Arabidopsis thaliana: one gene and its partner. The protein of the gene in region 1 purifies or fractionates together with the protein of each later gene. This does not show direct contact. Each region holds a gene or a part of one and is shown on either strand. Other genes may lie near its edges.

The links. The genes of interacting proteins can lie anywhere in the genome.
Region 2: the proteins of MAD2 (region 1) and AGD9 purify together in Arabidopsis thaliana (affinity purification with mass spectrometry, with the first as the bait; one large-scale study listed by BioGRID). This does not show direct contact.

The regions. Positions count from the first base shown.
Region 1 is NC_003074.8:9,499,203-9,506,759, reverse strand, and holds MAD2 (DNA-binding HORMA family protein), read right to left. Parts: upstream 3,705-7,557; 5' UTR 3,529-3,704; coding exon 3,453-3,528; coding exon of another isoform or gene 3,449-3,452; exon of another isoform or gene 3,365-3,448; coding exon 3,349-3,364; exon of another isoform or gene 3,248-3,348; coding exon 3,117-3,247; intron 3,035-3,116; coding exon 2,914-3,034; intron 2,820-2,913; coding exon 2,716-2,819; intron 2,621-2,715; coding exon 2,499-2,620; intron 2,418-2,498; coding exon 2,358-2,417; 3' UTR 2,090-2,357; downstream 1-2,089. Other genes in the region: AT3G25990 (Homeodomain-like superfamily protein), read left to right, coding at 57-579, 861-899, 1,179-1,307, 1,410-1,634, 1,712-1,914; AT3G25970 (Pentatricopeptide repeat (PPR) superfamily protein), read left to right, coding at 4,539-6,644; AT3G25960 (Pyruvate kinase family protein), read right to left, coding at 6,828-7,557. UniProt on the Arabidopsis thaliana protein: Required for the execution of the mitotic checkpoint which monitors the process of kinetochore-spindle attachment and delays the onset of anaphase when this process is not complete.
Region 2 is NC_003076.8:18,967,500-18,973,664, forward strand, and holds AGD9 (ARF-GAP domain 9), read right to left. Parts: upstream 4,483-6,165; 5' UTR 4,319-4,482; coding exon 4,250-4,318; intron 4,150-4,249; coding exon 4,031-4,149; intron 3,825-4,030; coding exon 3,401-3,824; intron 3,316-3,400; coding exon 3,055-3,315; intron 2,963-3,054; coding exon 2,837-2,962; intron 2,752-2,836; coding exon 2,650-2,751; intron 2,559-2,649; coding exon 2,451-2,558; 3' UTR 2,237-2,450; downstream 1-2,236. Other genes in the region: UBP21 (ubiquitin-specific protease 21), read right to left, coding at 1-14, 108-218, 304-424, 511-993. UniProt on the Arabidopsis thaliana protein: GTPase-activating protein (GAP) for ADP ribosylation factor (ARF).

The sequences.
Region 1 (7,557 bases):
CTTTTATATTAATCTTTGACATCTTCTGCTATCTCTCCTTCTTCCTTGGAGAAAACATGTTTGTTTCCGATAACAACAATCCTTCACGGGACATAAACATGATGATCGGCGATGTTACATCAAACGGAGATCTACAGCCACACCAGATCATCCTCGGAGAAAGCAGTGGAGGAGAGGATCATGAGATCATCAAAGCACCAAAGAAACGAGCAGAGACATGGGCACAAGACGAGACTCGAACCTTAATCTCATTACGGAGAGAAATGGACAATCTTTTCAACACTTCCAAATCTAACAAACATCTCTGGGAACAGATTTCTAAGAAAATGAGAGAGAAAGGGTTTGATCGATCACCATCTATGTGTACGGACAAGTGGAGGAACATATTGAAAGAGTTTAAGAAAGCTAAGCAACATGAAGATAAAGCAACAAGTGGAGGATCAACGAAGATGTCTTATTACAATGAGATTGAAGATATTTTCAGAGAAAGAAAGAAGAAAGTGGCATTCTATAAGAGTCCTGCTACTACTACACCATCTTCTGCTAAAGTTGATTCCTTTATGCAATTTACAGATAAAGGTACAATCTTTAGCTTGGTTTTGGGGATTCTGATTGATTTGTTGCAGGTTTGGATAAAATTTCTTAATGGGTTTTGGTTTAGATTTGGATTGAGAAGATAAAGACTGATCTTTTTTGGTTTTAGTTTTGTTCCTCTTTTAGTGCTAAACCTGGTTAAAGAGGCTTTTGACCATTAATGGCTAATTATAAAGTTGTAGATTTGGTTTGTTAAACTAGATTGACTTTTTATAGTAAATTTGGGTTTTCTTCTAAAATTGATCTTTATCTTTATCTTCTTGTAGGTTTTGAAGATACTGGTATTTCATTTACATCTGTTGAAGGTATTGATCTCACATTTATTGAATCTTTGAGTGTATATATAAATGGTGGTGTTGAAATCTTTTTTAGTTGGGGAATTACTTTGAGAGAAATGGTTGTATCAGTCCTAACTTTGGGTAAACAATTGTGCAACAACTTATGATTCTCTTATAATTCAGTGAAATAAAAGTGAACTCATACCAAATTGTAGAATGTTAGTGATAATGTGAAGCCGATTTTGTTTGGTTTGTGGAAGTAGTGTTAGTCACTTTAGTCTTGATATGAGTTGTATCTGTATGCAGCTAATGGCAGGCCAACGCTAAATCTTGAAACGGAGCTTGATCATGATGGTCTTCCTCTCCCCATTGCTGCTGATCCCATCACAGCAAATGGAGTTCCTCCTTGGAATTGGAGAGACACCCCTGGAAATGGTAAGTAACCAGACAATCTAACTTAGAGAGAGCCTCTCCTTGTTTATTAAGCTTTTGAACTTTTATGGCAACTACTACTAATCGTTGTCATGTTTGAAGCAGGCGTTGATGGTCAGCCATTTGCTGGGAGGATCATAACGGTGAAATTTGGAGATTACACAAGACGAGTTGGGATTGATGGTACTGCTGAAGCAATTAAGGAAGCTATCAGATCCGCGTTTAGATTGAGAACAAGACGAGCTTTTTGGCTAGAAGATGAAGAACAGGTTATTCGCTCTCTTGACCGAGACATGCCTTTAGGGAACTATATACTCCGCATTGATGAAGGTAAATCCACTCTTTCTTCTATGCTATTCATCGAATACTCTCTGGTTAGAGGTTTCTCAATATCCATTTGAATTCAGGGATAGCCGTTAGAGTGTGCCACTATGATGAATCTGATCCGTTACCAGTCCATCAAGAGGAGAAGATATTCTACACCGAAGAAGATTACCGAGATTTCTTGGCTCGACGAGGATGGACATGTCTGAGAGAGTTTGACGCGTTTCAAAACATAGACAATATGGACGAGCTTCAATCCGGTCGCTTATACAGAGGAATGAGATGAGAAAACGGTTACTACAGAAGGCTAGAAGAAACCTTTTATTTTTCATCAGTCACTATAAATAGCTTTTTTTGATCCAAAATACTTTATTTTCATCAGTCACTGTACATATGCACCTCTTTTGACATGCCATTGTGAATCAGAGGAATTTGATTTGTTTATTGAGAAATCTCTTTTTGATCCAAGAGCCATAAAGTTTGATTGGTAAACAAAACGGTTCAGTACAAGAGACAGGGACAATGAAAAAGCTGATAACTTTTGAACAAAACACAACACAAGTACAGGATTCCAATTCTCATACAATTCAGAAAAAGAAAAAAAACAGAAGAGAAAACGATATAGGTGTGTGAATAAAGGATTCACGTGCCTTTAAGAACAATGAGAACTCCCAAAGAGATAAACGCAAGCTGAACAAAGAGCCTTGCATACGTGTGTCCCGACTTCTGTTACTCTTCTTCATCCCACTCGTCGTTCTTGTATGAGACAAGCGTGTCGACTTTGTGAATCTGCAAAGTATGAAACCACCAAAATACTTAGACATTTCAAAGTGTATAAATAAAGGTTTCAAAATTCTTCCTCCTCCTTACCTTGGTATCAAAACCGTGTAACTTAACCATCTGTGGATTAGCAATCAACTTCGGGTCGCTCTCGATCCAAGTGAATGGAACAGCCACATCAGTATCCGTATACGCCAATACATCAAACACACCTAATACAAACAACATGCACAATCAAAAACGAGAATCCAAATCAAACTAGTTCCGAAATGATGATCACTCAAAGTTCCTATGAATTGGTTCTTACATGTTTCATCAAGACAAGGCAAGTAAGTAACACTTGAAGCAACCTGTCTCATAATAGCTTGAATCTCCCTCATGATCTCCTTATCACTCTTCTCCCTCGACACACTAAAAAGTTCCATAAAGATAACATAATGAAACAAAGAATCAAAGAAAACAAACAAACTTGCGAAAGTATCAACACTAAAAACAAAAAACTGACCCTTTGTCAACAACTTCATTATCAGTCTCAATACGAAAATTCCACCTCTCCAAGACTTCACCAGTAGCTTTACTCATAATCACTAACACTACTCTCTGCAACTTCCCAGCTTCAAGCCATTCTTTAGACCAAAAACAAAATCAAGTCTCAGACTCTCTCACAAAAGGAATCATTGAATAAAAGTCTGACATTTGTAAAATTACCGGAGATCTGAGAAGTGAGATTAGACATGAAAGATTTGACGGATTCATCTTCAATAAGCAACATCGGAAGTCCATATTTCTTCACTTTCACAAAACTTTCCTCTGGATAAACTGCACGATTATACAATATACTGTACCCAGAAACCAATAACGAATCAATTTCACTGTAAAAAAATCACAGAATCGAAGATTTCCAGACACTGAAATTGAAAAGTTCCGATCCAATTCTCACCTGTTCGCAGCGTAACCTGGAGGAAGAAGAAGAAGGAAAAAAAAAACATCAAATCGAGAAGAAGATATCTGAAATTGAGTCTAAGAAAAAATGAAGATACGTACAGAAGAATTCGCTGACGATGGCAGCAGATCCGTGTAAAGTGATGATATCTTTAGCAGCCGCTGTTTTGGACGCCATGGAGTCTAAGGATCGGTGATTTTGAAAATTGAATTCGCAAGTGTTAACAGCGTCGCTTAGGGTTTTAATGATTTTGAAGGGAAAAAAAGATATTTGAGGGAAGGATTAAAAAGAAGGAAAGAAAGAAAAAGAAAAAAAAAGGAATAAGAGCGTAACGGCTAGTCTTCCTCGGAAATGCACTTGCAACGGCTAGTTTGGGTTATTATAGTTTAAGGTCGAATCCACTAATTTTTTTTAAAAAAACAATATAATATCATTACCAGAATTTTTAAAATATCAAATATAAAAAAACAACAAATTATTTTTAGCCAATAGCAACATCTCTACAAACCATTGTAATAATTATTATTTTTGGTTTGCAACACATTTTACATTTAAAAGAAATACACCAAATATTAAATATATAATAACTTTGTTTTAAAAATTTAATAGAAAAGTCCATAGTTTTCTGCCATACGGATTTAGACTCGCCATGTGGTTTTTAACTTTTAAGCCGTATGTCTCTTTGATAAACGAATGAAGCATCAATCAAAATTTTAAGAAGCCTTTTAAGTGTTGAAAGGTAAATTTTGTAGTTTCTATTGGTAAATCGACTCATCTATGACTTTTTTTTTTAAATAGATTTCAAATATACTTCATATATATGTATATATAAATTTATGTCGTGACACCCATGACCGAAATCTAGAAAAAAAAAAAAAAAAAACTAAGGTATTTTTTTCCAGTCTAACTGAAAAAATACAATTTTACAAATAACTCAAACTTCAAATGTGTTTTGATTTACTTAATTAAGCCATTATTAATCCACATAAGGTTATTAACACAAATTTATCAAACTAACTAGCCACTTGATAATCCATTACTAGGTAAATTCAGGTATATATATAAGTTAATAATAAACTGATTATTTGACCAAAAAAAAGCATAATTAAAATATATTTTTATACATAAATAAAATAAAATAAACTCTCTTTGATGTTGACATCATATGAACACAGAGAAACAGATGAATGAAAGCGTTGTTAGCCTCTCTACTAGAGAGCTCTTTAAACTCTTTCCAAAAGCTTTCACTCACTCACTGTTACGCTATTAAATGTGGTTCCATCTCAGATATATACGTATCCAATCGAATTTTGGATTCTTATATAAAATTTGGCTTCTTGGGTTATGCCAATATGTTGTTCGATGAAATGCCTAAGAGAGATTCCGTGTCTTGGAACACAATGATTTCTGGGTACACAAGCTGTGGGAAATTGGAGGATGCATGGTGTTTATTTACATGTATGAAGAGATCTGGATCTGATGTTGATGGGTATAGTTTTAGTAGGTTGTTGAAAGGGATTGCTTCTGTGAAAAGGTTCGATCTTGGAGAGCAAGTGCATGGTTTGGTTATAAAGGGAGGTTATGAGTGTAATGTGTATGTTGGAAGTTCGCTTGTTGATATGTATGCGAAATGTGAAAGAGTTGAAGATGCTTTTGAGGCTTTTAAGGAGATTTCAGAGCCTAACTCTGTTTCATGGAATGCTTTGATTGCTGGATTTGTGCAAGTGCGAGATATCAAGACTGCTTTTTGGTTGTTGGGTTTGATGGAGATGAAAGCTGCTGTGACTATGGATGCTGGCACTTTCGCTCCACTTCTTACTTTGCTTGATGATCCTATGTTTTGTAACTTGTTAAAGCAAGTTCATGCTAAGGTTTTGAAACTCGGGCTTCAACACGAGATCACTATATGCAATGCGATGATCAGCTCTTATGCAGATTGTGGGTCAGTATCAGATGCAAAGAGAGTTTTTGATGGCTTGGGTGGCTCAAAAGACTTGATTTCGTGGAATTCGATGATTGCAGGTTTCTCTAAACATGAGCTAAAGGAATCTGCTTTTGAACTGTTTATTCAAATGCAAAGACATTGGGTCGAAACCGACATTTATACTTACACCGGCTTGTTAAGCGCTTGCTCTGGCGAAGAACATCAAATTTTTGGGAAGTCTTTGCATGGTATGGTAATAAAGAAGGGATTGGAACAAGTAACTTCTGCAACAAATGCATTGATCTCTATGTATATTCAGTTTCCTACAGGCACCATGGAAGATGCTCTGTCTCTATTTGAATCCTTAAAATCTAAGGATCTTATCTCTTGGAATTCGATCATTACAGGGTTCGCCCAGAAGGGTCTCAGCGAGGATGCGGTAAAGTTCTTTAGCTACTTAAGATCCTCAGAGATAAAAGTCGACGATTACGCCTTCTCTGCACTTCTCAGATCATGCTCGGACCTAGCAACACTCCAATTAGGTCAGCAGATCCACGCGCTCGCCACTAAATCAGGCTTCGTATCAAACGAGTTTGTAATCAGTTCTCTGATCGTGATGTACTCAAAATGTGGCATAATCGAGAGTGCACGAAAATGCTTCCAACAGATTTCCTCCAAACACAGCACAGTAGCTTGGAACGCAATGATTCTTGGATACGCTCAACATGGTTTAGGCCAAGTCTCTCTTGATCTCTTCTCCCAAATGTGTAACCAAAACGTGAAGCTAGACCATGTAACCTTCACAGCAATCCTTACAGCTTGTAGCCACACCGGTTTAATACAAGAGGGACTCGAGTTGCTTAATTTAATGGAACCGGTTTACAAAATCCAACCTCGAATGGAACATTACGCAGCTGCAGTTGATCTCTTAGGCAGAGCAGGGCTCGTGAACAAAGCGAAAGAGTTAATCGAATCAATGCCGTTGAATCCTGATCCAATGGTATTGAAAACTTTCCTTGGAGTTTGCAGGGCTTGTGGAGAGATCGAAATGGCTACTCAAGTGGCTAACCATTTGCTAGAGATTGAACCAGAAGATCATTTTACGTATGTTTCGTTGTCTCATATGTATAGTGATCTCAAGAAATGGGAAGAGAAAGCAAGTGTGAAGAAGATGATGAAGGAGAGAGGTGTAAAGAAAGTTCCAGGTTGGAGCTGGATTGAGATTAGAAATCAAGTTAAGGCCTTTAATGCTGAAGATCGATCAAATCCTCTTTGTCAAGATATATATATGATGATTAAAGACTTGACTCAGGAAATGCAGTGGCTTGATTCTGATAATGGGGTTGATGCAGATTCACTTCATGCTTAAGAGAAAATTTAGTTTAGGCCAAAACAAAACTTGTGATATAACTTTATTTAAAATTATTAGTTTGTTTGGGTGTTATTCAAAATTTCAACAACTACGACAAATAATGAAACTGAAAATTATGTTTAAAACTTTATTATCATGTGACCAAAAACAATGGTTAAACAAAAAAAGTTAAGAATTGGATTACTCGACGCTCACTATCCTGACAATAGATGAACCATCAATCTTGTGCAAAGCCACAATGGAATCTCCAGTCTTACAAATTCCCTTCGTCTTGGCAAATCCTATAGCTAATCTAATCATCTCCTCCGTTGAATCTCTAGCTGAACATCCCACCACCGGAATAATCCCACGGTAAATCAAACCACGTCTCGCCACATGAGCTACCGAGTCCGAGCATTCAGCAATCTCTGGCATAATCACCGACAGAATCGGAACGCTTGGCCTGTATTTAGCCACAAGCTCCGCCGTGTAACCGCCTCTAGTGAGAACAACGATCGCGGACGCGAAAACACTCCGCGCAGTCGAAACAGCTGAAGCAGCTAAGCTCTCGATTGGAGATAACGGTAACGAAACCATTCCTAGGGTTTTCTTGTGGAGAATGTCGTAATCTATGAAATCCTCTGCTTCTTTGCAGATCCTTGACATTGTTAACACGGCAGTCTCAGGGTGAGCTCCAGCAGCAGTTTCTCCGCTAAGCATAACGCAATCTGTCCCGTCAAGAACCGCGTTTGCTACGTCGGTAGCTTCAGCTCTAGTCGGGCGAGGAGAGACTGTCATGGATTCAAGCATCTGTGTGGCTGTGACCACTGGTTTCCCATGAGCATTAGCCTTGTTGATCATTGTTTTCTGAGCAAGAAACATCTTTTCGATTGGTATCTCCATCCCAAGATCTCCTCTAGCCACCATGAAA
Region 2 (6,165 bases), on another chromosome or scaffold:
ATCAGATGAAAAATCTGTGATTGGTTAAGGATAACCAATTCATATAAAGAAACCTCCAACACAAAATTATGCACATATATAAACAAAAAACACTTAAAAAAGGATACAAGTCAAGTTATCACGAAATCTATCAATGTTTATTCCATATCCTGAAGACCTCAGAGCAAGCTCAATATGATCTCGAAGAGCTTGCATTACACAGAACTTCTCATTTCCACCTGAAAACCCAAAGAAACTATAAGATTAAAACCATGAACGAAACAAGTCACCAAACTCAAATCAAACCAAATAAGCAAATCTTACAGTTGCAAGGGTTTCCATACATGAATGAACGAAGACTATCGATAAGAGGCACAGTATGAGTGAAGCACTGTAACACAGAAGCTATGAAACAAGTGTTGCCTGAATTATATAGCCCAGCCCCCTGAAGAAATTGTATAAAACATCCAAAATGATTCAATTTCGGATACCAAAACAAAATCAGATAAAAAGGGAAGAAGAGAAACTTACAACACCGGTGGGTTCAATCCTCGGATACCACCATGATAACTGTAGAGGTTTTGTTGGTTCCATCTTATTAAGCTCGTCGTCATCGCTTTCATACTCGATGTATCTCCTTGGTGGACGATAAAGATACGAATCTGACGTGTTCGTGATCCGGAGATGATTGTTGTTGCTAACAGGCGAAATCTGAGCTGGTGGCGCAATTAGGGTTTTATCTGACGGAGAAGAGGAAGACTCATCTGGGTTCACATCTCTGTTTTCCTCTGGATTGAAATTTAGGGTTTTGTCCGGCGGAGAAGAGGAAGACCCGTCTGGTTTTGCCGGAGAAAGGGCTTGAATCTGACGAATCGGTGAGGAAAGAGAGAGCGAGTTAGTAACAAGGTCTCGAATTGGCGCGGTTGGTGAAGACTCATCTAGGGTTTGGTTGGGTTTAGTTAATTTATGAGAAGAAGAGAGATTAGATGGTGGTGGGTCACTAAATTCCGCCATTAACAACAAAACCGAGAACGGATTTTGTGAAGAATTGAAGGAAAGGGGAAGAAGTGGAAGCTAGGGTTTAGTTTTGGGAGAATTCTGCATCTCGTAAATCGATCTGTAAGTAATTGAAGAAGATAAATTTGAGTTTCGCTCCAAAAAAGTTGGGAAATTTTCGAAATCTGAGAGCGAATCGAAACGATTTGGAGGGAAGATGAGAATTGGAGTGGAGAAGAAGGTTTGAATTGGGAGGGAAAATCAAGCCGCCATTTATTTGGGGATTTAGGGTTTCTTTTGACCTTTTCCACAGATAAAATAAGCGTAATTAAACGTTGATTAGGTTATTTGGTTAACTCAACCATGGTTCGCACTTGGTTTTGGAAGTTTGGATTCTCAGAGACTCTTTGACCAATTATATTTTTTATCTTTAAACAAGTTTAATTGACAAAACCAGAACTGTCGAAAAAAAAAAAAAATGACAAAACCAGATTTTATTTTTTTGGGTTAAATAGTTGAAGGAGGAAGGAGAACAATAGGGAAAAACGCAAGTTGATTGTTAATTTGTTTATCAATTTATTGAAATTTAATATTGCTTTTATTTGTGTTATATACTTTACAAAATAAAAATATATACAGTTACTTTTATCATTTTTTTCCTAAAATCTAGATTTATTTACTTTTTCCAAAAAAAAATATTGTAAAAATATTTCTAGTTACTGTATGCCACATCAATTTTTTTGTCAGTTTGTTTCTAAAAGCTAAATTAAATCATTTCTTTAACAAATAATGGAAATACTAACATTTCTATATTATTATCTTCTTTATATTGTTGACCAATTTAAAGTTTTCATTAGCCTAAGTTGATCTTACGTTTTCTTTATATTGTTTGCCCAAATATAGCTTTCCTATATCTTTTTCAATATAGTTTTCCAAGTTTAACGGTTTACTATATTGTTGACCAAATTTCTTTCAAGTTAAAAAAATTATATATTTTACTTTCTTGTAAAATCACCTTTTTAGTCTTATAAATTAAATTTATTCAGTAATAAATATAACTTTTAATATAAAATCCTCATAATCAAAATTTAATTATATTATAATAAAAATGGAACTATTTTAATAGAAATGCCGATATGGTCAAAGAAAATCCATCTGCTCACTTTTCTCCTTTTTCAATATTAGTTCTTTTCAACAAAAGTTTTGATTGGTAATAAGTTCTTCCTCTTATGCTGAGTTCTTTTTTTTTTTTTTTTTTTTTGCAACCATATCAAGGGAATAAATTGATGTTCAATACCATACATAATACTGTAACATATTCTACCATATCCACATCAAATTATCAAATTCCACATTTAACAATTTACCTCAAAAATCACTCTTTCAACTACAAAGTCAAACCAAAAATAAAAATGACATTTATATCCAACAATTTGTTCTCTGTAAATCAAAAGACAAGATCCTTTGTATGTTTCTTACAGCATTCTATCCTGAAGATCACTGAATATACTAGAGGCAAATGTTCCCAGCTTATTCTTTGTTTCCTCAGCTAAGTTAGCAATAGATGACATATCTTGCTGCGCCTGTGCCCAATAATAAACAAAGTCAAATAAAAAAACCTTATAAGCAGAGTTAAGAAAAGCTGAAGAATTTGATTCTACTTCAGAACTTTACCTGGAAAGAAATTCGGTTGATGAGATCGCTTGCAGTGATATCGATGTTGGAATCATCTGGTCCGTGGCCAAAAAGATCAGAACTTGAAATAGCTGCTGAACCCTGATAGATTTGTAATCGCATTAGGCATGTATGAACAACGAGACTAAAGAAAACTAGTATAGAGTTTGATCGGTTAAGGACATACCGAGAACTTCTGAAGGGTAGCTTTTGAGTCAAGATCGGCATCTCTGTTCTGATTTCCGAAAAATTGGGCAGAGGAAATCGATTTGGCGTTTGAAAACTTCTTTCTTGCTTCATCTGTTTCTTCAACCTAAGTAAAAAGAAAACAGGTAAACAAAGAGGAATCGAGAATTGATTTCTATCTCTTTCTTCAGTTCTGTTAAAAATGAAACTTTTCTTTACCTGAGCTTTGGATGAGCTTGAGCTTGACTTCTTGGGGAAAGCACTGTCCATTCCAAATTCATTAAAGAAATTTGATGACTTTGGTGGAGCAACATGGCTAAGCACCCGTGTGCCACTTTGCCCACCAGATTGCTCATCATCAAAGTACTCAAATCGAGAGGCAAATGATGATCCAGCTGCTGATGTGTCATTGGTTGGAGAAGCAGCAGGAATCACAGGTACAGGTTCTTCAGGCTTCTGCTCATAGAGGTTATCCTTTGACTACATATACAACAAATACTAATCTAATCAAAACCAAGAACCGAGAAGCTAAGCTATAATTCTTTATAAAAACGAAAAACGTTACCTTAGTAGTAAGCTTACGAGCACCAAGACCACCAGTCTTCCCAGACTTTCGCGAAACAAGAGGTTTCTTAAACGTACTAGCAACAACTTTCTGAGAAGCTTTTGGTGAAGAGACAACAGCTGCTTCTTGCTTCAAAGAACTCTCTTTCGGAGATTCAGAAGTAAACCCATTTTCAGATGATTCCACTGGCTGAGAAGTAGCAACAGAGGATAACGACGGTAAAACAGTTTCTTCAGCCATGGCTTTAGCAACTTCTTTAGCAAGAGTCTGTCTATACATATCAGCAGCTCTTGAAGTATACTTAGCCTCAATCTTACCACCATCATTCCATCCATGTTGCTTAAAAAACACCTGAGCTCGATTGTTCCCTCCAAACATCATTGTTCTTAGCTGCTCAGGACTCCACGAGTCTAAGTTCGTTGACCTGCACAAAAACAATATGATCTTATAATAGATCTACAACAACATGAAATGCTATAAATAGAGTGGTCAACAGGAAAAAATAAGTCAACATCTTCCTAATCACAGCTTAAACCCTAGCCAGAAGGTGAAACATTGCTACAAGTCCATGAAGCTAAAAATTAAGCCTAAAGAGTTCAAATTTGTGTTCCTCAAGATTCAAAGTTTTACCTGACGAAGCTGATATGAACACCTAGACTTCGATGAACAGCAGAACAATCGATGCATAGGAAGATCCCATAAGGAACAGAAGCCCATGTTGGATTCTTCGCACTACAATCAAAGCAAACCTAAAAACCGAAGCAAAATCATAAATCAATTCGGAAGATTTAGGTCGTATAAGCTCCAGATCTGAACGAAATTCAAAATCGAAAATTGAGTAACCCTAACCTTGTTCTCGGATTTTGATTTCAGCTTTCTGAAAACAACATTCTTATCGGTGAGATTCTCAGTCGCCATCGTTGAAGAGTTTAGAGATGTTTCCCCAGAATCTGGAAATCTGAAAGTGGCGATTATGGATCGACTCTTCTTCTTCAAAGCAGAAATTTTTGTTTTTGTTTTTCTGTTATCTTATTTGTTTACGTTTTTTGATTAGAGGATCAATACTAAACTCGATGGGCTTGTATGGCCCAATAATGAATAAGCCCATATTTGTATTTCGTAATTTCGTAGATGTCATTATTTTTATATGAAAGTCACACAATTCTAAATCAAATGTAAACTCTAACCATAGTCTAAATCCTGTAAAAAACTTCTAATTCTTTAATCACAAAACTTAACCATAAAACAGAAAATGAAAAAGGATAAAACCTCATCGCTAAATTTTATCATGATTTTCTCCATCTTGTTATTAGCGCAAAGAGGATCGCTTGAAAGATGAAGACAGAATTGTGAAAAATTGAAAACCAAAATAATTGTTAAATCCAAAAAATCGACTTGTTATGGAAGTACATTAAGGTATTAAATTAGGTTATCTTCACTAATTCCTCTCGAACCTTTTACTTTCTTTCTTTTTTGATAAAGTAAAACTTTTTACTTGATACAATGTTTCTGTGACATGTAACATGTTTATCAATGTCTTGTAAGAAAACTGGCAAGAAGTAGAGATATTTTATTATGTAATGTCAATAATCATATGTTAGTGTACGATTAGTGGGTCTAAAGTCGTTTTGTAATTACATCATCCACGAGAATCACGTGAGCTGGATCATTTTAGCCATCGTGATTAACCATTGAATATTATTGTACATGTTGTCCTTTTCACTGACTACTTTTCTTCTTCTTTCTTTTTTTTTCTGGATATTTTGTTTATAAGTAATGGTTGGCATTATCATGTGTAGTTCTTTGTCAATAATCATGTGTAACTTTGACAAAAAAATCATATGTAACGTTTTAAAAAATTATATACTTTGGTTGGTCATTATAGTTTTAGCCAAACGATAAAAAATTTGATGAAAAAAATGTGGTTAAAGAAAACTTACAGTATACCGTGACAAAAATATGAAGATTGTTAATAAATAGATATGTCAATTATGGTGACAGAAACATGGAAAGCAGACAGACGATGCCTAGACAGAGGACCCAAACAATTAAAGTGGGCTACACAACATAATTCCAATATTTAAAAAAAGAAAAAAACAATTTAAAATGTCTAAGAAAAAATAAATTCGAATATGAATTTTATAGAGAAAATACAAATTTTATACGTTAATTTCTTCCTCTTTCAAAAATTGAACGGAAGTTGCTATGTTGTTGGATACATTATTATTTGAATATATATTACAAATAATTTTTAGGACTAGCAAATCATTTTTTGAGTTTTCTTTTTATGGTTTTCGTAGTCAACTCCACAACCGATAGTTTTACATCGATGCTTGTACAATTTTACAGTTTGACAGATGGTACTGTACTACGACATACGGTTCTATGCACCACACTAAAATCTCTAGATAGAAATCGTTTCCATTAATCTTCAATAATTTGTAATCTATGAAAATCAAACTTCATATATGGTGTGATGAAGTATTAATGGATATTTAGTTAACCATTACACCAAAAAAAAATTTACACCGGATAATTATTTGAAAACGTAAATTTCATATTAACGGTTCAAACTGATTTTTAATAAAATGAACATAATGAAATGATATTTAAAAAAAAAAGATGATTGGAGAAAGAAAACACTTTTAGTTTTTTCATATATATTTATTTTCCTATAACTAACATAAAATCAGTTGAAATATTATTTTAAATTCCTAACTTAATTGATATAAATTGAGTAGAATCTATTTTTTTCCTTTTAAAAA